2 linked regions of the Notamacropus eugenii genome follow. The protein of the gene in region 1 purifies or fractionates together with the protein of each later gene. This does not show direct contact. Links are inferred from orthologs where the notes say so. Each region holds a gene or a part of one and is shown in the gene's direction. Other genes may lie near its edges. The genes, in order: ITPR1 and ERLIN2.

Region 1 (12,470 bases):
CATTATATGTATGTTATATATATTAAAGCTTAAACTCACACTAAGACTTTTGGAACACTCATCTATATATCCCTATCATCTATCTATCAATTGATTAGTCATCTGTCATATATACAGAGAATAAACTCAAGGTAGTTGGGAAAGGAAGGCTCTAGCACTTTAGAAGATTAGGGGAAACTATAAAAGTTGTTGTTTGAGAAGAGTATTGAAGGACAAGAGAGATTCTATGGATTGGAGGTAAAGCCATGGAGACAGGAGATAAAGTTCACTTCCCTAGGAAATCCTCCTTGATCTCCACCTTTAGGTCTTGCAGAGAAGTGGATGATCTGGGTGCCTTCCATGTCTGACCAAGCTTGAAGTGCTCCACAGAACTGCTTCAGCTGCCTTCATGACCCTTGAACAAATTGTTCTCATCTGCCTATCATACTTGGGAAAGTCTTCACATGCTTGGGGTAGACATCCACCTAAACACACCAATGTGTTTGAAGCCTACCAGTTACCTTGTTTAGCCCGTCTGCTGAGATGGTTTTTACCAGGATATGGTCCTGGAGTCACATGTGAGAATTGGGTGAAGGTGGACAGTAAAAGTAGATGAGCAGTCCTGAAAACAGCTCGGCAAGCCCACATTCCAGAAGTGCTAGTCCTCTATTAAAAAAAAATTCAGCAACAACAAAGAGGCAGGAATAAGCATGACTTCAATATTATTGATACCATGACTACTACCTAACATTTATGACTCCTGAAGGTTTTCTATGTACATTATTGCTCTACTCTGTGAGACAGGTACTATTTCTATCCCTATTTAAAGGTGAGGAAACTTAGGCTCAGGTATTTAAGTGACTTGTTCAGGGTGAAACGACCAGTGAAATCAAAGACTGTTTAAACCTGGGTCTTCCTGACTCAGAGTGAGTCCCAAGATGAGACAAGATTGGATTATGGAGGATCTTGAAAGGCAGACAGAAGAGTTTGTATTTGATCCAGTGGACAATAGGAAATCACTGTCGACTTTTAACCAAGGTGGTGATTAATGCAGATTTGACATACTGTAGTTTTATCCCTTCTTTGTATAATCCACATTGATCATTCATTCAGAGCTTCTTATAAATAAGCCTACCATAACTTCTGGAGCAATGACCAGAACCTGAATTGCCACCAGAACCTGAATTGCCATCGTAAACACTCTATTCCTATAAACAAATCCACATGGTACAGCTCTGTTGGTTGTTTTTATATAGCTATCTTGAGGTTGCTAGGTAGAGCAGTGGATAGAGGGCTGGGCATGTTCAAATCCAGCCTCAGAAACTTACTAATTGTGTGATGGTGGGCCAGTTACTGAACCTTTGTGTACCTCAGTTTCTTCATCTGTAAAAGGGAGATGATAACGGTATCTATTTCCTAAGGTTGTTGTGAGGAATAAATAGGATAGTATTTCTCAGTCTACTGCCAGTTGTCTTGATTTTTGTCTTTCCACTGAACTTTGATGACTCTAGAAGAGAGAGTGAGGCGGATGACTTTGTGCAAGTCGGCTTCACTTGAATCCAATTCATGCACAAGTCAAGGCAACGTCCCACAATGTCACTGGTCCTCTTTGGAAAGGAAGGACAAACAATAACATCTCAGAGTGCTCTGATTTCACCTTCTTATATTCAATTCAGCAAAGAAATACCAAGGAAATTACAGGTCCCTATCCCCTATACATAAATGTAAGGATATATGTTGTATATCTCTATATATGTAGATATAAGTAAGTATATATGTGTTTATGTATGTATGCATACATACACACACATATGTTATCTCCCTCTATAGAATGTATCATTTTGTATTTTATAGAGGGAGAAACTACGGTCCAGGGAGAAAAAGTTCTTGCCAAGATCATGCAGACAATAAATACCATATGTGACAGGTGTACTGCATACACTAGTAGAAAGGAAATTTAAGGACAAACTGGTATATCGTAGGTGCTTAATAAATGCTTATTGATCATAACCAGTGTGATATGTTTATTGAAGAAAAAGAATTAGTCAAAGACAGCACGTTTTCAAGCAGAGATCCGATGCAGCTAACCATGAAAATAGCAAAGGCACTGAAGATTTGTGTAGCCTTGGGCAAGTTGTTTGACCTCTCTGGGCCTCACTTGTGTCATCTGTAAATTAAGGGGATTACTCTAGATGGCCTGCGGGGTCCTTTTCAACTCTAAATGTCTGAGCCTATGTTCTGTTCTGTAGAATGATTTGACATTATAATTGAGCTGAGTTCCTGGCCTCAGGTAAACAGTATGGCACAGTGAAAAGATCTTGGGTCTCTAGAGTCAAAAGACCTGGATCCAGACTCTACCTCTGATATTCACTATTTGTATTACCTTGGGCAAGTCATTTCACTTCTCTTTCCTATTCTGCAAAATGTGGGGGTTGAGCTAGATCACTTTTGAGTTTGCTTCCATCTCGATCTGTAATCAAGCCCATTATTAGAAGGAAAAGAAAATTTAAAGGGAAAGATTAGCTTGACTTTGAACATGTTATATTTGAGGTGGTTATTACTCATCTAGGAAAAGATGTGCTCAATAGGCAGTTAGAGCATACAGTTCTGGCTAGGGATCAAGGTCTGGGCCAGGTCTGCATCTGTACCCTGTCTCTTGGGTAGCACATTTGATTTTGAGTTGCTGTGGAACATCCAGGTAAAGCTGAGCCACCAGTCATTGGAAATGTGGGTCTGGAGTTCATCACTGGGGTCAGGCTAGGAACCATCTGCATAGGAATCAGAGTGAGGCCCTAGGAATGAATAAGATTGCCAACAGAGAGAGTAGAGGGAGAAAAGGGAAGAGGATCAAAGATGGAGCCTTGGGGGAACAATGATCTTAAAAAGTAAAGGAATTAGCAAAGCGGGGAGAAAGAGCCCAGTCAGATGAATGAGAGGTCTTTGAAACCCAGAAGTAGGTGTTAGCTGCAGTCAGATGCTACAAAGGAGGTCAAGGAAGATGAGGGCCTTTGGCAAAAACTAAAACTTCCTTCTCTTCACAGATTAGGGATGGGCAAAACACTCTCACTCTGATTATATCAGAACGATCTTGGTAGATAAATTTTTTTGGTAGCTGTCAGACTCCAGGGTTAGTGATGTCAAACTGGGCCAATCACTTTTAGGTTGTGACTTGAAAGGTACCAACTGACCCCTTTCTCCCACCCCTGAAATTTCTTCTATCATTCTGCCACTTGCCTGAAATTCTGGCCATTAGAGTAATTTGTTTGGGTTAATGTTTCTCCCCCAAACCCTTACTAAAATGCCTGGAAAGGATGATGCATAAAACTCTTATTGTGGCCTACCATTGCCACCTTTAAAAATAGAGAAGCAGGACCTTAGGTGATGAGACAAGCAAATTCTCACCTGGTGAAGTGATACTAGGGAAGAGAAAGATGAGATATATTTAAGCTCTGGGGACTGCCAAGGAGGGGAAGTATCTAATATAATAATGTGCATGTGATAAGTGTTTAATAAATTTTTGTTGAATTGATTTGGGCTGCAGAGGAGAAGGGATCTAGGTAGGACTGGGGGTGGAAAAGGAGTCTGGTAGCTTGGGGGGGAGCATAGAAGCACCGGGAACTAGGGGGAAAGTTGAAAGAGTGAAGGTAGTTTCAAAAGGAAGGAGGGAATGAAAACAAAAAAGGAAAGGAACATGACAAACTTTGTGGACTTTATAGTTTTTTCTACGATAAAGTGGGCTAGCAGGTGCTTTTTACAAAAATGATGAATGAAGTGTACAGTCAGTCAGTGATGCTGCTTCTCCTTCCCCCGGTCTTCTACTTGTATTTGCAGTGATGTTAAAATCATAGAGGAGCTAGATGGCTACGTGGATAGAGTACTGGGCTTGGAAACAGGAACACTTGAATTCAAATACAGCTTCACACACTTATTAGCTGCGTGATCTTAGGCAAATCACTTAACTTCTATTTGCCTTAATCTACTGGGAAGAAAATGACACATAAGCATCTTTTTCAAGAAAAACCCATAGAGGGTATGGTCCATGGGGTCATGAAGTGTCAAACAGATGCCTAAAACCAACGTGAATTCCATTGAAGCCCTATAACGATGCAATATGGGTAGATTTCTGTTGTTTTTCCTTTGGTTAATCTAAGGTAGTGAGAAAATGACTTGACCAAGCCAACAAACTGATTTAACCTGGAGTGATTTACCAGGTGTCCAAGGCTCAATATAGTGTCCTCCGATGGCATTTAAAGCCTTCCAGAACTCCTCTGACATTTTACAAACTGGTTCCCATTTACCTGTCCAGTCTTACTCTTTATTATTCCCCATGATGCTCCATCATGCCACCAAATTGTCCTTCCTTCTGTCCTTCAGACATGGCACTGTCCTCCCTCTATTCTTGTACTGACTATTTCCCATGTCTGGGATGTACTACCATCCATGGCTTCTTAAAATTTCACTTCTTTCAAAGCTCAGTTCAAGGGCCACCTTTAACAAGAGGCTTTTCTCAATACCCCCTCCCCACGCCACCCCCCCCCAAGTTAATGCCTTAATGCCTCACTCCAAATTGTCTTGCTTTCTATTTACTGCACCGTATGTCCCAAAAGTCTTAGTTCAGCTTTAAACTTTAATAGCTTGGATATGCACTAAGACTTTTGGGACACGGTATTATGTACCTGTATATGTATTGCCTTCGCCATAGAATGGAAGCTCCTTGAGGACAAGGGCTATTTCATTTTTGTCCTTGAATCCCCAGCGTCTAGCGCAGAGCCACGCACATGATAGGAACGTAATAGATTCTTGTTGGTTGACTGATTGGCAGAGGGCACCTTTCGTGGGTGCTATCACCCTGGGGCAGAATGGCCTGCTTTGAAAACAAAACAAATGTGTGTTTTAACAGTTATCAATGCTGAAAGCGAACCCGCAAGCCGCTAGTTTATAGCCCCCTGCTTAGAAGCTTTGGAGGGGGGCAGGAAGTAAGAGGAGGAATGAAGATTAGTCCTCTGGCTCCAAGCTCCTGCCCTCCAGTCTGCTGCTTTGTCAGAGACTTAAAACGACGCTTCGAGTTTAGGTGCTTTCAGGGCTGCATGTCGCCCTCGATGGTTCTGATTTTGTTTGGAATGCTAGTGTTCGCGCTCGTGCGTGTATTCGCTTCCAAATCTCTTCATTAACAAATCGTAACGTTCATTGGTTAGCCCCGGATAATCAAGTTTTCATACCGCCCGCCCCTAGGTAGAAGAGTCCCCAAGGACTCGCCAGTGTGTGCCCGGTGCCCCATGTGCGCCCCTTCCGCGAGGTCCGTCCCGTGTAGACCCCCTCGGATGACCCCCTCAGCCTCCCATGCAAGTCCCATCGCTGACATGCCACTCCAGGGCTGGGGTTTGGGAGTTAAAGGCAACCTTGGGTCTTCATCCTTCAGTCGGAGCTGGCATCCAGCAGTCACTAAGCCCTGGGGATACAGAGAAAAGCAAGACTGACCCCCGCCCCAAACCAACCAACCAACCCAACCAACCCCTCGTTCTCTTTTCCAGGGGAGCGCGCCTTCTAACGGGGGAGCGACTGCACTGGCATTTTTGTGCGTTGGGTGGATTTTTGAAGTTCTTGGCCAGGGTGTATTGGCCCAAACTGGAGTTGACAGCCCATTAAAATGAAACAAAGCAAAAACTTCCCAAAATATAAGTCTAATCCCGGCCCAGAGGCTGCCTAAGAGGCTATCCTTCGAGGGTCTGGGGTGGGGAGGGGCCCGGGAGATTGGAGGCACGCCGCCTCGGACCTTAAGGCTCCCAGCCCAGCCTGCCAGGGCAGGGTCGGGAAACTGTCTGGTTCCTAGAAGACCACACAAAACGACCCTCCCTCGGACCCCGACAAGCCAGAAAGCTCCCACTGCTCTCGCTTCCCCAGAACTCTCCGTTCCCCAGATGCCCCAAAGCCAGGGAGACTATTTGGAACCTCAGCCCGGGAAACCCGAGGCATTCTGGGAATTGTAGTTTTGTTTCACCGCCGGAGGCGCCTGCGAGACCCTTGACTTGGACTACATTGCCCAGGGAGCCACGAGGGGTATATAAGCCGCGGCGAAGCGGAGCCCAAGTGCAGTAACCATGTGGATGTTCTGCTGAACCGTTTCCTGCAACTCACAGGGGTGGGAGGAGGAGGAGGAGGAGGTGGTGGTGGAGGTGGCGGAGGAGAAGAAGAAGAAGGAGGGGGAGGAGGAGAAGCAGCGGCCGGAGGAGGAGCAGAGGGGAGGTGGACGGAGCGAGAGAAAGGCGAGGCACCCGACGGCACGGCACGGGACGGGACGGGACGAGACGCAGGAGGGTGGCGAGCCCGCGTCCATCCTAACGGGACCGAGCTCCAGCTGCGGGGACATGGAATGACAAAGTAGCTGCTAACGCTCTCCGAGCCCGGCTCCCGAAGCGAAGCGGGCACCTCTCCTGGGGGCGACGAGGTACGGTCTCGGGCCGGGGGACAGCGGCCAGCGTGCAGGGAAGTGGCCGAGGGAGACGGAGCAGAACTTTTCTGCTCCGCCCTCCCCGGCGCTCGGGGCTCCGCAGGGTTCGGGGCTGCTGGCACACAGCTGGAGTGCCCTTGTCAGCGATCTGCCCCCCTACCCCCTTGGCATATAGGTCCCCCCTCCGCTAGCCAGAACAACTGGAGGGTTCGGTCCCGCTCCCTCTCCCAGCCCCAAGTTAGGAGCTAGGAACCAGTGGCAGGAAATAGGTCCGGGGGTGAGAGTGTGGAGGGGGCAAGGCAATGCGCGAGTGTATCTCCTTGAGGAAACAATCTTGGGAAAAAAATCCTCCGGCTGCACGCTTTGGGAAAACCCAGGTCTGTGGGGTGCCCGTGGTGCCCGGGTTGGGGGGCTGGGAAAGGTGAAAACGGGGGCCCGAACACATGAGGTTTGGGAACGTAGCCTGTTTGTGTTTGGGAAGCCGGCGGAGGATGCCCAGCATCGCAAAGGATGCCATCCCCTTCTCCTGCAGCAAACAAGTGCTTGGGGATCTGCTCACACTTTTCCCCCTGAACTGTTTGAATATTGCGGAGATGCGAGACCTAGAGTGTTATCTGTCGCCTTTATGGAGTGCGTGCCTGGAACAGAGAAATTCCCTTCAGGTTTTAGATCTGGGCTGAAGCGGAATCGTGGAGGGTCGGAGCAATCAAGTTTGTCGGAGGTCACCTGAGCTAAGAGATCTTTCTTGGTGTCGTCTTGAACAGACACCGCAAGAACTGACATTCTGTGGCCCTTGTAATGAGTCATTTTTCTTCCTTTTTTTTTTTTCTTAACTCAGGCGCCGACCCAGTGGAGCAGGAGCCGCACCACCCCAGGTTGGGTGTTCTGTAGATACTGCTGGCTTACTGTGACAGGTGAGTGCAATTAGTAATGAGCTTTGCTTCCTAACTGCCCCCTGGCCCTTAAAGCTGTTAGAAATGGGATGAAGGAGGAGAAAAGACTGTGGGGCTTAGGCTGGTATTGACTGTTCACCTTGCTGACAGTTGTGTGGAGCACACTCATGGCATGGGGTAGTTGAGTTGCCTTAGGGAATCAATCACTACTCCAGCACCCAGAGTCACAATTGCAGTGGGCAAATCAAAGATCTGTAAGAAGGTAGAAGGCATTAAATGGAGGAAGAAAAGAAAATCTGACTTGTTAGGTGGTGTGCATGTGATTTAAATTTTCAAAGTTATACTGTGTTTCATCTGCCAAACATATAAGCAAAATTAACTGCCTCAAAAATAACTTTCTACCAAGTGAATATGTGCTTGTCAGTTTAGGATTGGATGGGAAGAAAGGATTGTCTTTGGGTAAATGAAATAATCACAGCTGATTGGGTTTGTTTATTTATATTGTAAAACTATGTCAAATCTAGACATGAAGGGGAAAATATCAGCACTCAGCAGATGGCCTGAAGCCAAGCACATGTCAAAGGATTCAATAAGTTAATGCTGTTGTAGTGCCTGCTGTGGGATGTGAGTTGGGGCCAGGGTTTCTGCTATAAACACAGGCCCGCCAGCTTTTCCAGATTGGCTTGAGATGCGTTAGTGGAGGGAGGCTCATACTGTGTACATACATCCATACAACTGTAAGCTTGCCCATCTGAAGTTTTCTTCTTAAATGGTCAAAAAACAGGGCCACAGGGGGTGGATGGGTCTTGGTAACTCATGTAACAGTCTAAATATTTAGCTGTTCCCTGGGCTACAGTCTTTGGGTTTTTCTAATTTGAAAAGAAAAAAAAAATCAGACACTTCATTAAAGAGGTGTAGCGCTTTTGTTTCCTGTTGATAAAATTCTCCAGAGTGCTAAAGGAGTGGGAAGCATTTGTAATCTATTCATCTGTATTTGTGGAGAGACTGGGCCCATTAATTCATGTGGTGCTAATGAGGTTAAAGCTGGGAGTTCCATCCCCTTCCTGACCAGTTAGCTCTGTACTGAGCAGAGCAGCTTCATAGCCACGGATTGGCCCTCCCTCTAGGACCACAATGCTTCTCAGATGCCTGTTTTTGGGTCAGAGATAAGGACATGCCAACAAATTCTCTCTATCATATGCTCCATATCCTACCTGTTTATAAGAGCCATATATTTTTGGTTTCTTCAGGGACTAGAATTTTCTGGGATGGTTTCTTGCTTTCTGAAATCAAAGGAAGTTGCTTGGGGTTGTGACAAAGAATGCTGGATGGAGAATTACAAGGGCTCAGGTTCCCCAGATCCTGGTTCTGCTTCTTATTTGTTGCCTATGTAGGTAAATCTCATAGGCTCTCTATACTTCCATATCCTCATCTGTAAACAGGGATAGGGGCTTCACTAATGACCCCTGAAGCTTCTTCTTCTTCTATGCCTGTGTGATCCTGTGATCCTATGCAGATTGAGTGTAACATTATTATCAGAAAACCTGGGAGAATTTCAAAATTTGTCACCTAGAGGATGGATCACTAGGGCCTGCTTGGTCTGTCCAGGTTGCAATCTCAAGAAGAGATGCGTGATTTGGGAAGAAAGCACTGGGCTTGTTAGGAAGCAGTATGGGTCTTTTACTATGAAGTTTTGGATTTAAAAGTCTGAGAATATAATAACTGGTTTCAGCTTAATTCTTTGAACCACTTTCAAAGTGAGATACCATCTTCTGCTAAGTGTTTGCAGGCAAAAGCAAGTGATCATCATAATAAATGGCTAATATCCTATAGTGCTTTAAAGTTTGCAGAATGCTTCCCATGAGACTAGAACATATCATCATTTATTCGTTCATTTTGCAAATACTGTGAGTTCCAGTTCTAACTCACCGTAGGACCTTGACAAATTCGAGTCCCTTTTGTTGGCTTGATTGTCTTTGAAATAAAAGATCTGGACTAGATGGTCTCTCAGGATTCTTCCAACTGATGAAACAGTCTTATCATTCTGATTTATGTGCAAGGCATTGCTTTAGACTCCAGGGAAGATCCCAAAATAATAAGGTATGACTTTAGTCCTTAGGGGACTTATTTAGTATAGTGTAAATGAAAGAAATAGCAGGAAACATTGGATAAAATGAATTTACAGCTTAAGTTGCAGAAGTAATTTTGGTGTCTTTTCGCATAACCTTCGAGCTTACTTTGTTGCCTATTGTACATTTTTTCCCCTGTCTTGGAAGTACAGGCTGCCCTTTGGCTAATCCAACGCAGAGCTGAAAGGCCTCTCAAGGTTTTCTTTCCTTTATCAGCCATGGAAGGTTCTGCATGTTCCAAATGGAATATCTGTCCTTAGTGATTTTTCTTTACAAGCCCTTTTAACAAAACTCTGGTAGAAGCCTATCATCCTGTAGCACTGAGATGAATTATGTTGGCCTCTATGTTGGATCTCATGCAATATGTTTGAAACATGACAAGACAAGACATCATCTACATTGGTATTCTGTTTTTAAAGAGGATAACCCTCTTTGTTCTTTAAGAACCTAAACAGAGGCATCATGTAGTAGAAAAAATAAATGAATTAATAGAATAAAAAAAAGATGAAAATATGTAGGATAGATTTGGAAACGGTTGCCTTATTTAAAGGGAGGAGAACAAAGCTAAAGAAAAAAGTCAGTAAACAAAATTATCCACTTTCAGAGAATTGTTGAGAAAGTATTATCAGATGACTTTCTAGGCTCCATAGGAAATCTGTTTGTGATTTTTTTTAAATGGGCAGCTTATGAAGAAACCAGAGTACAGACAGCAGAAAAATAAAATTTAAATTTGGCTTGGATTTCTTTTTCTGAGTCAATCTGCCCTGGGATAGACCTGGTTTAAGCAGAGTCTACACACGGCAAATGTTTTGCCTTATTTGCTGTTGGTTTGATTTTGTTCAAAACAAACACACACATGTACACATACACTCACACTTCCTGCATTCATAGGCCATCTCTGTTAGATGTGTGATATTAGTTATCGTCCTGTATTCCATGTTGCTGACTTGCTGTCCCTAAAGAGCAGAGCTCAGGATTAGCCGCTTGTCCTGACTAATATTAGTGCATGGACATAAGCATCGTTGTTGTTTTCGGAAAGTGGACAGTGTCTTAGAGGCTGACTTTTGAGAACTAATGAAGGGAATTGAATGCTGGCTTACCATGGCAGTCTGCAGTCTTTAGCAATAGTAGAACAAAATCCTGGAGGACAAGAACTATTTGAGATTTTTCTGAGCTTCCATCCCCAGCATTTAACATGGTCCTATTGGCACTTTTGTCTTTCGTCCCAAGCTGTGATTTCATTAGTGTATGGAAATCCCTGTGTGCCATCTCCCTCCCCTGAGGCAGGTGGGCACCTCTTCTGTAGCTTTAGACACTTTAGAGAGTTGTGTGGAGGTTCTCAAGGTGTCTTGTCAATGGCTACACAAATAATGTCTCGGGATTTGAATCTAGGTTTACCTGGATCCAAGGCTGAACCCTTGCCCACTCTGACATTCTGCCTCTTGTTTTGCACATAGTTTTCCCCAGACTAACAAAGGGGTCAACGGCATACAAAAAATTAGAAAGGAACCCCCAGACTGAGTGTGAGAGCCAAGCTACTACACAAACTGTTTGCCCTCCCCACAGGAGGCCAACATATCACAATCCCTCCAGCCCATACACTGGGCCTAGATCGGTTTGGCTAAAGGAACAGCCATGAGAAATGGGGTTTAAGGTGAAGACATTCTTGCTGACTTGTAGAATTGAGCTCTGTTGTCTCTTTTATTTGACATTTTCCAAACTCTTGCATGTTTTCTCATTGTGACTAAAAATGTCGCTGAACTGTGTGACCATTTCAAAGGTATGAGTTTTATTTTCAGAAACCTGGATTTCATAAAGTTGGACTCCATTTCTAAGTTTTTAGCTGTATGCTTCCTTATCAGTCTGTCAGCATCTGCCATGTATGACGACTACACTGTTGTGGGTACTGGGGATACAAAGACACAGTGGAGATAAGCCCCGTCAACACGTGTGCAGATAGGTGCATGGTCAATGAACAAACTTTTATCAGGCACCTGCTAAGGGCCGGGTGCTATGGAAACAAATAACAAAAAAAATCAATAGTGATTAACTTTACATTGTATTTTAAAATTTGCAAAGAGCTGGTGCTCTCTTTCACTCTCTCCCCCTACTCACACATACATATTTATAGAAGAAGTCTTTTAAGCTTCACACCAACCTTGTGAGATAGGTTCTGCCATCATGATTATCCCCCATTTATAAATGAGGAGGCTGAAGTTGAGAGTTTAAGGCCCCTGGATCTTATGTCTAATGGGCATTCAAGATGGGATTTGAACCCAGGTCTTTCTAACTCCAAAACTAACACTCTATCCATTATGCCATGCTACCTTTCTAATATAAATTTTATGCTAGAATGATTGATCGGGAGCCTTAAGTGATCTTAAAGGCAAACTAGTCCAATATTTTCATTTTCAGGTGAGGAAAGTGAAGAGACCTCTGTCCAAGATCATAGAGATAGTAAATGATAGGGAAAGAGACATTTCCTCTGACTCCAAATTCAGTACTTTTTTGACCATGTTCCTCATATTTCCCAAACCTGTACAAATATATACAATTTTAGGAGAAAAGGAGCATTAACAATCCAGATCAAGAAAGGCCTTATAAATGAGGTAGCCCCTGAGCCATGCTTTGAAAGCAGAGACAGATCCTAAGAAATGGTTAAGAAATAAGTTGCAGGGGAGACGGAGGTCTGTCTTTTTGTTCCTGCTTGGAGTCATTTGTTTGCTTCCATCCAGATTTTATGCTTTGTCCCAGGCAGTTGGCAGTCCCAGAGAGGGAACCTGCACATCCTCCTGCTGGTATTACTAGATCTGTATTATTCAGCTCTGCACCATTCTCTGGCCATGCCATAGACAGAAAGAAGAACCAAAGTAGGCTTTTCCCTTGATGAACTTAGAGTCTACTCCCCTTGCTACCTGCAAATTATCTTTACCTCTGCCTTGTGGCTCATACATCTGCCCAGTATTTCTATGAGAGAGAGAAAAATCAGTTTGGGGAAGAGGTAAATTCAGTCCCAGGTGC
Region 2 (12,383 bases), on another chromosome or scaffold:
TTTTTCTCTTCTGGATACTTCCTGCAAGGTTGCATTAAGATTTCCTTCCCTCCCAACCCATCAGCATTCCATCCACTCTTCAATTCTTCCCACCATATGGACAACTGCGAGCAAAGGGGGCACCATGTGAATACCACCTGCAGGGCTGATTCAGAAATTCCTGGCTGAGTTTCCCCTGCCCTTCCTCTCTTCATCACTTACAAAAATGAGACAAAAGTAGATCCTTTCTTTCAAGGAGGTACCCCAGCTCCAAAAGGCTCGAGCAACTACATGAAAATGGAAGGGCTATGAATTCTCCTCTCCTTTCGATCTGTGGCTTACTCAGGAGCCCACTACCTACCTTTTCTGGTCTCTTAACTACATACTTAACTATAAAGTAGAGAGACAGGCACCAACTAAATAGGGTCACAGTTTGGGGTCACTGCAATTAAACTCATTGGTGAAGCCCTTTGTATCTGTACACACTACCACAGACATGATCAGCTACAATAATAGAGAAAATAAGGCTAATCACAGTGCAGGGCACTGTGAAAGAAGGCACTAAGAAAGGATTTGAAGATGAGGGTCAGCTAAAGTTGTGGATGCTACTCACCCCAAAACAGGTATGTTACCAGTATTGTAAGGTGGTTGTATTAGCCTTGTGTGTTACCTAAACAGGAATTATTATTATATCCTCCATGATACATATCAGCCAAGTAACCTTGGGGAAGTGATAACCTCTCTGAACCTTCATTTCTCGTCTATAAAATAGGGATAATGATAGGCAGTTGTGAAGGAAGCACTTCATTCATTCTAAAATGTTATAGAAATATGAGTTGTTGTTGTTGCTACACCCTATATTACCTTCCCCATGGCTTGATACTATGATTTCATGGATACCCAGAAAAGAACTCTTCTCACCCACCCAAAATCACCCACCTACCTACCTACAGACCCTGAAATTCTACCACTGAGAATGAAACTTAAACAGATGGAATTCTTTGGCTTAAATTCATACTCTCAGGTAAGTGACTGATATTCAGTCCTTTCCCTAGAGTAATTCTGATATGGCATTTCTCTTTCCAGAAAGCAGGAAAGGGTAATCTATAGCTAAAAAGCAAAAAAAGGAGAGAAGTGAATAGGGAATGGGTGTAGAAAGGAAAGGAAAAGAAAGGAAACTAAAAATAAACTGCCTGCTTCGAAATTCTGTCATGGGCAGGACCTAGCAAAGGAATCTAGAAGTGTAAAAGTCTGAGGTTGCTCTTTGAATTGCCTCCTGCTTGGGGAAATAGGTAGGAAAAGAAGGGTAGGAGATCATTTAAGGAGCAGTCATAATGTCACAGAATTGGAAAAGAGCTTAGAGAATATCTTATCCAACCTTTCACATCTTACAAATAAGGACAGGTAGCAAGTAGAAGTCACTACATAAACCCAGGTATTTTCTGACTCCAAACCAGTGCTCTGGACACTGATGAAGGTAGCCTTACACTGTAGCCCTACACCATAGCTCTCTGATCTTGAGAACAGGAAAATGGGTGGGATGTGAATCAGACGAAATGAGATCCAAACAATATATCTGGGGGGGAAGGGAAAGGACTCACTCCAAGTTTTCCAGCTAATCTAGCTATTCAATTCAACAACTAATTATTAGAATCATAAGATTTAAAACTGGAAGGAGGGCCCTTTGAGATCTTCAATTCAGGATTTTTCTTTTACAGATGAGGAAACTGAGGCCCAGAAAGGTGATTTAGAGTTTATGTGTCAGGGCACTGTGAGCTACTCACTGGGGAAGAAAACGATGGAAAATGACAAGAGTCTGGCTCCCGAGAAGCTCCTGATCTGGCAGGGAGACCAGACCTCTCACCCCCAAAGTGGCCAGATCGATGCCTCAAGGAAACTGCAGTTCCCACTTCTCAGCTCTGCCCCTACAAAGTTCTTCTCTTTACTGCCAAGCTCTAGGCCACCCAGGCTGGGTACGCCACCCCCACCCCCTGCCCCCATCACTCTTGGGCACATGGAGGAGGGGTGGCCCAGGGGAACAGGACAACAACACAAAAAGCCACACGAACCGCATATACCCATGGAGGTAGCTCTAAACGTTAGCGCCTGGGCAGGAGAAGGGGGTGGGGGTGGTGGAAAGGGATGAGGTTTTTCCAGCGCCATTCGAAACTGTCAGGCGAGTGATTAATGACCAACAGGTTTGGAATCGCCTTTATTGCCAGATCAGTATTGTTGCCCGTGACAGCTAATGAGGTTGGACAGGCTTCTCCACAGTGAGCTTTATGGGCCCCCGCTCCCTCCCCTGCAGAGCTCACGAGCCCTGCCAGCTTTTGTGCACAAGAATGCTGGAGCCCCCCAACCCCCAACTGACGACCCAAGGCCACCTCCCCAGCGCCACAGGCTGCAGTTGCCCAAGGCAGTGGCACCTGGGAACAAAGGCCCAGAGCAAAGGTCTCCTTGCCCTGGGCCACCTCACCCAACATGAAGGCATTGCCCCAGTCAGGGGCCAGGGAACTTGACTAGGAGGCCAGGCCTGGTGGGAGGGAGAGGGGACTGGGAGATGTATACAAAAACTGTGAGAAGAGCAAGACCGAAGGGAACCCCCTTTTCCTTGGATTTAAAAGCGACGAAAGGCTCCTGGACTCCTCTTCTGGCCAGTCTGACCGACTACAGGCAATCTGCCTTAATGAGCCCATTCCAAAGCGAACCAGTAAAAGTCAAAGAGGATTTTTATACACTCACCGCTTCAATCAAGCAGTTGGGGGCGGAGAGAGAGTGGAGAAAAGGGTAGGAAAGAGGGAAGGTAGTACTTCAGAATAAAGGGAGGTGGGAGGGAATTTAGGGAAGAGGAGGGGCTAATAAAAGTTAATATATAATAACAATAATAATCTTTTCCTTTAAAAAAATAAACAAAAACAAACCCCTCTGCCTTCAGCAGTGTTAAACCATGTCCAGAAGGTTTCTGTACAGAAACACAGTCTGGCTCCGGTGGAAAACTTTGCAAAGCACAGGCTTTGTTTTCCCGGCTCTAACAAATAATATTTACCTTTGTGCAGTTTCACATCTTTATATGGTTAAGCACGTGTTTGCCCGTGGTTTAATATTTGAAGGAACCAGAGCAACGTAATAAGCAAACGACTCAGAAAAGCCCCAGAAAAACCCCACTGCTTAAAAATCTATTACTTTTCAATGTGATATAAATGTATTTTGCTTCTGCTCAGAGCAATTTCCTAGTTTACTCTTATTAAACTGGGAGACGGCTTCCCGGCGTTCCTTGATTTATGAAACACATACTAGATTCATTAAAACCTTAAAAGATTTAATACATTTTATCAGGACATTAAATCTGTGCCGGCTTTTTAAATCAAATACCTGCCATATTTCATCTCCCACACCCTGCACACTTATTTAAGAACAGTAAAATGTGGCCTGACAAACATTATGGCTGTTTCGGGCCTGATTTTTTTAAGTGGCATGAAAGTCCTTCTCAGTTGGATTTACAACAAGGTCCCCTCCCTAAATCTGTCCTTCCAGAGAATAAGCGATTCCCTTCTTTGTGAGCCAATCCATTAGGATGAGTTCATGGTCCCCAAACTTTTTCTTTCAAACAGAGCAAAGAGGTATTTAGATCAACTCCTTCATTTTTCAGACAAGGAAACTGAGGTGGAGGAGGGTGCATGGTTTGCCTCAGGCCACACAGCTAATTACAGTCAGAGCCTCCACTCAAAACCAACTTTCCTGACTTTCAGCCCAATGTTCTTTATATTATACCATACTACACATCTTTCCATGAAATAGAAACAAAATCACCTAGCCCCAGCAGGAGATGAAATAAAAAGTCTTCTCTTTCTGAGGTTTCTAACAACTTTATTTCTGCAGACCCAAGCACCAGATTACAATGTATAAAGAATGAGTAAGAATTATGGTGGCTTTGAACCATGGCCTATTGTGGGCATTTCTGATTTAGCCACTTTATGATATGACTCTCAGGATTATAGGCTCTCAATCACAGATTTGGAGTTGGAAGGGACCTCAGTGGTCATCCAATCTAATCCCCTCTTTTTACAGATGAGAAACCAATTCCCATAAAGGTTAAGTGACCTGTATAAGGACATATAGTCAGTAAGCAGCAAAATCAGAATTTGAACTCAGATCCTCAGACTCTGAACCCGGCATTCTTTCTACTGTACCATGTTAAAATCTAGAAATCACTGAGCTTTCTGTGGTGGAATAAGAAGAGATATTTCACAATCACCACTCTCAACTTCCTAAACAAATGATCCTGTTTTCTGTGAAACTGCTCCTTCCAAGATTACCAACAACTGTCTTCCTTGCCTAAAGCCAGTGACCTTCTACCAGCCTTCATCAGGTGGTGAAATGAATAGAGCGCTGAGCCTGAAGTCAAGAAGACTCATCTTCCTGAGTTCAAATCTGACCTCAAACACTAGCTGTGTGACCCTGAGCAAGTCATTTAACCCTATTTGCTCAGTTTCTTCCTCTATAAATGAGCTGGAGAAGGAAATGGCAAACCACTCCAGCCTATTTGCCAAGAAAACCCTAAATTGGGCCATGAAGAGTTGTGTCCAACTTGACAACAACAAAAAAATTCTTCTTCTCTTCAGCTCTTAGGCTTTGTAGGATACCCTCCTTTAATTTTGTAGAACTGCTATTTCCTCCTACTTGTCTTACTGCTTCTTCTCAGTCTTCTCTGCCTGATCATGGGTCTCTGATTTCTACCCCCAGGATAAATGGGAGTTTCCCCTATGACTGACCTAAGTTCCTTCCTCATTCCTTCTAGGCACCCTCTTTCTAGGCATCCACAGGCATAGCATTTATTTCCATTTTTCTTCTCCTCTCCAATTTTGTATCTTGGACCTAACAAAATACTTACAAAAACCGAAGATGTAAGACCCTTCTTTCCCTTTGCAGACACTTTGCCACAACTGAGAATGAAGGAAGTGATGGGACACTGTTCTCCTCAGACTACACCTGGCATGCTGCATTGAGTTCTGAACTCATAAGGACGCAGTAGAAAGGAAACTGTCAGGCTAAAGAACCAGAGAAAGGGAGCTGAACAGAGAACAGACGGATGGGAAGATGTCACATGGGAATCTGTTCAAGTAACTGAGGATGCTGAGCCTAGAGAATATTTAGGGGAGGCATTATATCTATACAACTGTCATGTGGAAGAGAGATTAAACCAGTTTTGCTAGGCTCCAGGGGAAAGAACTAGGCATAATGAGTAGATAGATGATAGATAAATAGATAGATAGATGGATGGAGATAGCAGACATAGATACATGGGTAAACAATAAATACATAGAGTATTTATTAAATGCTAAGCATAGAGATATAAATAAGAGCATGCTAGACAGTCTCTGCCCTCAAGGGTCTTCCATTCTAATGGGGAATGAAATCTATAAAAGAGATCTGCACAAGGACAGAGTGTAGAAGGGGAATACATTTGTCATGGAGGTATCTGGGAATGCCATAAAGACCTAGAATTGAGCAAAACGAGGCCAATGTTGACCAAAAGCCAAAGAAGGTTCCAAGGGGAAAGAGCCCAGTTTTCCAGCAAGAAAAGAGTGGAAATGATGGCCAGAGTGAAGACTTGCAATGGCCAGAGATAACTGCAGAGAGGCAGACTTAAACTCCACAGAAGGAACAGCCCCTTCTTAATCATTAGAGCGGTCCAATGGTACAAGAAGCTACCCTGATGCCCATCATTGGAGATCTTTAAGTGGAGGCTAGAAGATCATTTGTTGAAAACAGCAGGATATGGCGCAAAGTGCACTAAACTAGAAGTAAGGAAAGACCTACACTTGAAATCCATCTCTGACACTAGCTAAGTGACCCTTGGCAAGTCACTTGTTTCTGTCTGCCTCAGTTCCCTGAACAGTAAATGAGGATAATAGTAGCACCTCCTTCCCAAGGTTGTGAAGCTTGAATGACTTCATGTTGTGAAGCCTTAGCACTTAGCACAGTGACCGCACATCATAGGCACTTAAGGCTCAGTCCTTTCCTTTCTACTTTCCCATCTATCCTTGGCCACTCTTGACTCTTCCTAACACCAAGGCCAACCTCTATGTGTTGTGTCCTACCACCTCAGTCATCTCTGGAGAGAAGAAAGCTGAGTCTCGGAGAAGTGACGTGACCCGTCTAAGCTCTGGCCAGGCCTCGCCCGCCCCCCTTCCAGACCCTCTTTCTCTCTAACACGAAAGGGTCCCGTGATTTCCCTCTTAAAGACATGAGCCCAGCTTCCCTGTCTGTGAAATGGGGAGACTTGATCCCTGCATCCTGGGCCAGGGCAGGAGGGCAAGACCGACATCCTCCTCCTTCCCCCTCACCCCCATCTTCACGACTTTCTATTCCCCCGTCTGCCCACCCCACAGGACTCCATCCATCCATTCGCTGCCCAGGCCCTCCCGGGGGTCGGTGGGACCGAGGGATGGGCGCCCCCTTGTGGCCGATCGGGCCGGGTGAACGCGGCCGGCTGCAGAGGCGCGGTGGGGGCGGGGCAGGGAAGGAAGGCTCAGGGAGAGAGGGAGACACAGGAATTCTGCCCCCCGCGCCTCCTGATGACGTGTCACGGCGGCGACGGACCCGGAAGGAGGAAACGTGCTGTGCTGAGCGGAGTGGCAGCGGCTCCCCGGGGAGGGAGCTCGGACAGGTACTGAGCGCCAGGAGGGACAGCCTTAGACGCCGCCCCGTCCCGCTCCCCCAACTCTCTCCCCTCCTGGGGCCTCCCCCGCCCCCCGCCCCCCCGCTCGGGCTCCCACCCTCCGGGGCGGGGGTCTGCAAGCCCACCGCCTTCTCCCGACTCCTGCCACCTCTGGGCCTCAGTTTCCTCGTCTGTCCGCGGAGGGGGAGGGGGGCCGGACTCAAGGATCCCCAAAGCCCCTTCCGCGCCTGACCCTCGGTCACTCGCTGCCCCAGGGCGCCGTCTGCCCCCCGACGTTGCTTGGCCCGCCCCGCCCTGGACGGACGTGAGGCCCGAGGACCACGCCAACGACCTGGGCAGCTTTGGTGTTGTGAGGGATAAGGCCCAGCCTCGGACTGACCGTCAGAAGCCGCCCATTTCCGAGATGACCAAGCTGAGGCCCGGGGAGGTGCCGTGGCCCAGAGGCGGTCCGGAGCAGCGGACTGGGCGCCAAAGCGGGGTGATAGCGAGCGCCCCCTCCCAGGGCTGTGGTGAGGGTAGCTAGAGGGCAGCCGAATGGCCCGGTGGGCAGAGTGCCCGGCCTGGGGGCAGGAAGACTCCCCAGCCGGGGACCCCGGGGCAAGCCCGTAACCCTGCTTTCCTCTTCAGTAAAGTGAGAAGGGGAAGGAAATGGCAAGCGCTTCAGGATCTTTGCTAAGAAAACCCGCCCTGGGGCCACGGAGGAGCCGGACACGACTGAAGAAGCGGCTCAAAGTCAGCTAGGCAAAAATGCCAGCTAGTGTAGCGTTCTTTGCCAGCTTTAAAGCGCTGTGTTAGTGCTAGGGAAGGAGGAGTGCACTGCAAGTCTTAGAGCGCTGTATAAATAAATGCTAGCTAGTGCAAAGTTCTTCACCACATCAAAGCACCATTTAAATGCTACCTAATGTTAAACTGAAGAGCCAACGTTCAAACCTGCATCTGCTGGCTCCAAATCCAGAATACTTTACACCTCAACCACATGCCTCCTGGACCCCAAAGTGGGACTTGATCAAGCCCCACCTTATCCATAGCACTCTTTGACCTCTCTGTTGCACCAGCTTTTGATCCAGTCTGGTGGCATATAGGGACTGTTGAATCCAGAGACCTCAATCTTGGCTTTTTTGCAAGTGTAAGCTAATGCTTTGAGGATACCTGCTATCTATTTCTTTTCCCATTCTCCTGCCCACCTTCTGTTGAAGGAGAAGAAGGTAAAATTCGCTGATAGGGATTCAACTAACCAGCTACTGACTAATATTTCCAAACTGTATTCCTTCAGCCCTTACCAGTATAGTTACAGCGACTTTGTTTACCAAATGAAAAATCATTACACATGGTTGGACAAAAGGTATTTTTTTCTTCAAGGCCTCTTTCCTGATTGGAAAACTGAACAGAAGTGGAAAATCTAAGAAGTGGCTGCCACAGCAGTAGTATGTGCACCCTCTCAAAAAGAACTTATTTTGTTCCAACAGTCCCATGACATGAAAAATGGTCTTGGCAGTAAATCTTGGGTGCTAAGGGCCCATAAGAGTTAAAAGTTGACCCTTATTATTCAAAGGTCATTGCCAAAAAAATAAATGCAGTAATAACTTCTCTAAAGCTTTCTGATGTCTAAGCTCAGCTGGATATTCATGGCCAGACTCTAGACTTCTGAGCCCTTTTTGCTTGTCTCAACAGATATCCTTGGGGAATAATCAGCTATAAAGTGTTATTCAAGTACCGTGTATAAGGCAGTGCTGTGTGTTCAGTCGTTTTCCCAAGTGACAAGTCCCTACCCTACTAAGGGCCAAATGAATAATGGGGGAAAGGAGAGAGGAGGAGGCACTCTAGAAAATCCTGCCCTGGAACCCTGCTGTGCGTATACTGTCTATCACCCTAGCATGTGAAAAGAGTAAATAACAGTTTCCTTTGAAATACCCTGCAGTTAGCATTGGGTGGCTCTGGCTGGAATTACATAGCCATAGTCTCCTGTTCGTTTGACATCCTGTATAATTTGGTCAGTCAGCACTTGCAGCTGGCCTGTTCCCCCTTGACAAATATATGTCCCTTCAGACTGTGCCATTGGAAGATCAGTTAGTTGAGAGCCTGAGGGTGTTTAGCCAAAGGAGAAATGTAGGAAGGACAGGATCACAGTTTTCCAGTTTTTCAAGGACTGTCAATAGGAATTGGGATTATACTTATTTTGCTTGGTCCCAGAAAGCACAACTGGATACCTTGGGCAGAAGCTGCGGGACAGCAAGTTTCAGCTCAATACAAGAAACAGCTTTCTGACAATTATAACTATGCCAAAAGTGGGATGGGCTACTTTGGGAAGGAGAGCCTTCTCAATCACTACAAGCCTTCAAATGGAGCCTGAATGATGACTTGTTATTGTGGTAGGAGAAGTGATGCCTCTAAAAATCCTCTCTAACTCATGAGATCCTAGGTTGTTTAGTGTCTCCAGGGCTCTCAAGAAGAGAAAGATGAATCTGAATTCTATCCTATGCTCTCCCTTGGATTATAGGACTTTTTAGGAGATAGAAATGTTGTTCAAGAGTTTTCCTTCTACTGATCCTTAAGGGACAATCTTTGGGGCCACGTAAGACAAGATCCTGGGTAAAGAGCAACAGAATTAGAGGCAGTCTAATACCCATAAAGACTCTGGAGAGGTTTTGTAGTAAGATGGTTAGTTGTTATCCTTCGTTCTTGAAGAGGACCAAAATGACATCACCATGATAAAGTGAAGTTTCAACGTGTACAACTGGCTGATCACACCGATATGAGCTCAGAGTGCCCTACCACAGATTGAGCACAGATAGTCCACATGAACATTTGCGGTGGTTGCTCCAAATTTGCACATCCTGCGTTTCCTTTGTGCCATTTCAGTTCTGCTTTGCTCAGAGAGCGTAGCACCTTTTCTGATGTGGGCATGCTATGTGGAATGGTCCTGTGCCAGTGTCTCTTATGTCGCACAATCAAATCCAGAGTTCTTGAGAGTGTCCTTGTATTGTTTCTTCTGAACACCATGTGATCACCTACCCCATGCAAGTTCTCCATAAAATAGTCTTTTTGGCAAGCATACATTTTGCATTTGAGCAACATGGCCAGCCCATCAGAGTTGTACTCTGAAGCAGAGTTTGAATGCTTGTCAGGCATTCAAACTCTGCTTCAGAGAGTGAGGATGTTATACTATAGATGAAATGACAGTTTGGATCCCACGAGATCCAGTCAGTGAGGCTGAAGACTCAAGTCGAGCAATTCAGGGGTCTGGCTATTCTGGCAAGAATAAAAGCCTCAGTCCTGGGATCATGTGATTTCTCATGCTCAGAGAATCTGCATTTGCACTGATGACTCCAAAAGACAAATTCAGATGCAAAATATATAGAGAAGAGAACAAGCCCTTGCAAAGAGGTATCTTTGCCTTCTTGAATTTGCTCAGAGATCCTCCCTAGGGTACCTTGCATTTAACAAATTCTAATATATGATGTTTCTCCTTATTTTTGATGACATGTACTTCCTTGATTTTTTCTATTAGAATTTGCTGTGCTGTCCCCCCCAAAAAAATCAGGTGAAAGTAGTTGCAAATATAGTTTTATGTTCCACTGGCATTAGGACAGGAACAAATCTGAGGAGTCAGCTATGCATGATGCAAGGTATGCATGTTGGTGAAATAGTGTTGTAGCTTTTCTCCTGAGTCCTAACCATCACGTGTTTCCCTGTACCCTTTTCTCTAGAGTAAAAGCTTCCCAATGGCGCAAGTAGGGGCAGTGGTGGCTGTGGCGACTAGTTTCTTCTGTGCAGCCCTCTTCTCCGCTGTGCACAAGATTGAAGAAGGGCACATTGGGGTGTACTACAGGTAAGAGGAAGGGGCAGGGCTGCAGAGACTTCCAGCTCTCTGAGATTCAGGATGGTTCTTTGCTTTCCTGCAGCCAGTGCTCAGTTCTGGTTTTGTTGGTTTCGTTTGCCTGGGGGACAGGAGCATTCTATTACACTGCTGCTGTATAGTAACAACTACTGATAGATCTGTTTATATGTGCAGGGTGTCCCAGAAATCTCAATGCAGTTTGGAGCTTTAATAGCTTAAAACTGTGCTAAAACTGGGATACTCTGTCTAGCCACATTCAGGTGACACTACTGATGGCAGGTGACAATATTAGTCATAGTAACAGCTCACTGCCAAACAAAGGAATTTCCTTACGATATATACCTTGTGGAGTGGGTAGCTCGAGGGAATAGCATTCCCATTTTGCAGATGAAGTAGCTAAGGATCAGAGAATTTGCCCAGCGTCACATGGCTGTAATTGGAACCCAGACCTTTTCTCTCAATCTATGCTGGTTCAGAGGCAAAATGAAAAGGTTTGAGAATGGTTCTGGAAGTCAGTTTTCTGTTCATTTGGCTTAAAAGGCTTCTTGCTTGCTCCTAAAGAAGTCAACTTAGATACCTGCCCTTGATGACAACAGGAAAGGGCAGTGTTACCTCCTTGTCTAATTAAAACACCAATGACTTTGGGGCCCTTCTTAAAAATTGTACCCAGTGGAGGAGAAGGAGGTTTCTGAGAGATTTCTGTTGGAATAAATAAGCCACCCAATTATCTTCACTTTTAGCACTGTTATCCAAAAGATTTAATCTTTGAGTCTACCTCATCATGGTGGGGAGATGACTCTGGATTCTCAGAAAATATCTACTGACTATACTCTGGAAGGTCCGGCCAAGCTGAAGGGGCTTTGGGTATGATCTGGGGATTTGTGAACCAGCCTCACTATTTGCCCAGAGGCTCATCACCAGAAGGTTTGTTGCCAAGTGACATTTTTTGTGACATGGTCCCCTTTTTGGTGAAGCCTACAAACCCTTCTCAGAATCATGTTTTTAAATACACAACATAAAATACACGGAAACCAATTATATTGAAATACAGTTAGCAAGAAACAGATTTTTTTAAAGTTCACAAATCTCAAGTAAAGAACCCCTACACTATGGAATGGAGGGAGTGCAGCCTTGGTCAAAGGAGAGAGTTTTTGCACCAACAAAATCACATATCCTTGGAGTAAATCTTTGATTTTAGAGTTAAAATGTGGCCATGTTACTGAGCCCTGTGGCCTTCCTTTTGTGAACTGAGCTGTAGGGGCCATCAGTCAGTGAGTGAGAACTTATTGAGCAGTGCTTAGCAACATCTTTGTCAACAGTCCACACCTGATTTTTAGTGTTAGATTGACTTCCCTTCCCCCCCCCCCCCCCCCCCCCCCCCCCCCCCCCCGACATACTCTTGTCCCACTTCCCTTCACCATCAAATTAAGGGAAAGAAACTAATTCTGATATCCATTTATATACCACAAAATGGGGAGAGTAAATCTATTACCCAAGAAATAGCCCGACTATATTACAAACCACATAGAAAATGGGTTTTTTTGATTGGCCACATCCCTCCTCCCCAGCATCATTAAGTGTTGACCTGAATTCCTGCTTTCAGCTTCCATAATGGATTGCCACCTCCTAGCTAGTCACTAAGTACCACTTGTGGCAGAGCAAAACCAGCTTCTACTCTTAGCTCAACTCCAAATGGAGACTTTTTGCCTCATTCCAGATAGCATGTGTGTACACTTCATTCCTAACAAAGGCATGGCTCCCTGGTCATTTTGAGACAAATCAATTTGAGTGTCAATGCTGCCTAATACAAAAGGATTGAGTTGAAGGAGGGGTTGGGGAAGAGAAAGACACCAGAGGAAGCAGAGTTGCCAAGAAGAAGGCTTA

The links.
Region 2: the proteins of ITPR1 (region 1) and ERLIN2 purify together in Homo sapiens (affinity purification with western blotting, with the first as the bait; 4 studies listed by BioGRID). This does not show direct contact. The link is inferred for Notamacropus eugenii from reciprocal best matches to the Homo sapiens genes ITPR1 and ERLIN2.

The regions. Positions count from the first base shown.
Region 1 is NC_092874.1:441,488,243-441,500,712, reverse strand, and holds the start of ITPR1 (inositol 1,4,5-trisphosphate-gated calcium channel ITPR1), read left to right. Parts: upstream 1-6,244; 5' UTR 6,245-6,424; intron 6,425-7,265; 5' UTR 7,266-7,341; intron 7,342-12,470. UniProt on the Homo sapiens protein: Inositol 1,4,5-trisphosphate-gated calcium channel that, upon inositol 1,4,5-trisphosphate binding, mediates calcium release from the endoplasmic reticulum (ER).
Region 2 is NC_092872.1:623,275,734-623,288,116, reverse strand, and holds the start of ERLIN2 (erlin-2), read left to right. Parts: upstream 1-6,527; 5' UTR 6,528-6,649; intron 6,650-7,904; exon of another isoform or gene 7,905-10,045; intron 10,046-10,368; 5' UTR 10,369-10,383; coding exon 10,384-10,490; intron 10,491-12,383. UniProt on the Homo sapiens protein: Component of the ERLIN1/ERLIN2 complex which mediates the endoplasmic reticulum-associated degradation (ERAD) of inositol 1,4,5-trisphosphate receptors (IP3Rs) such as ITPR1.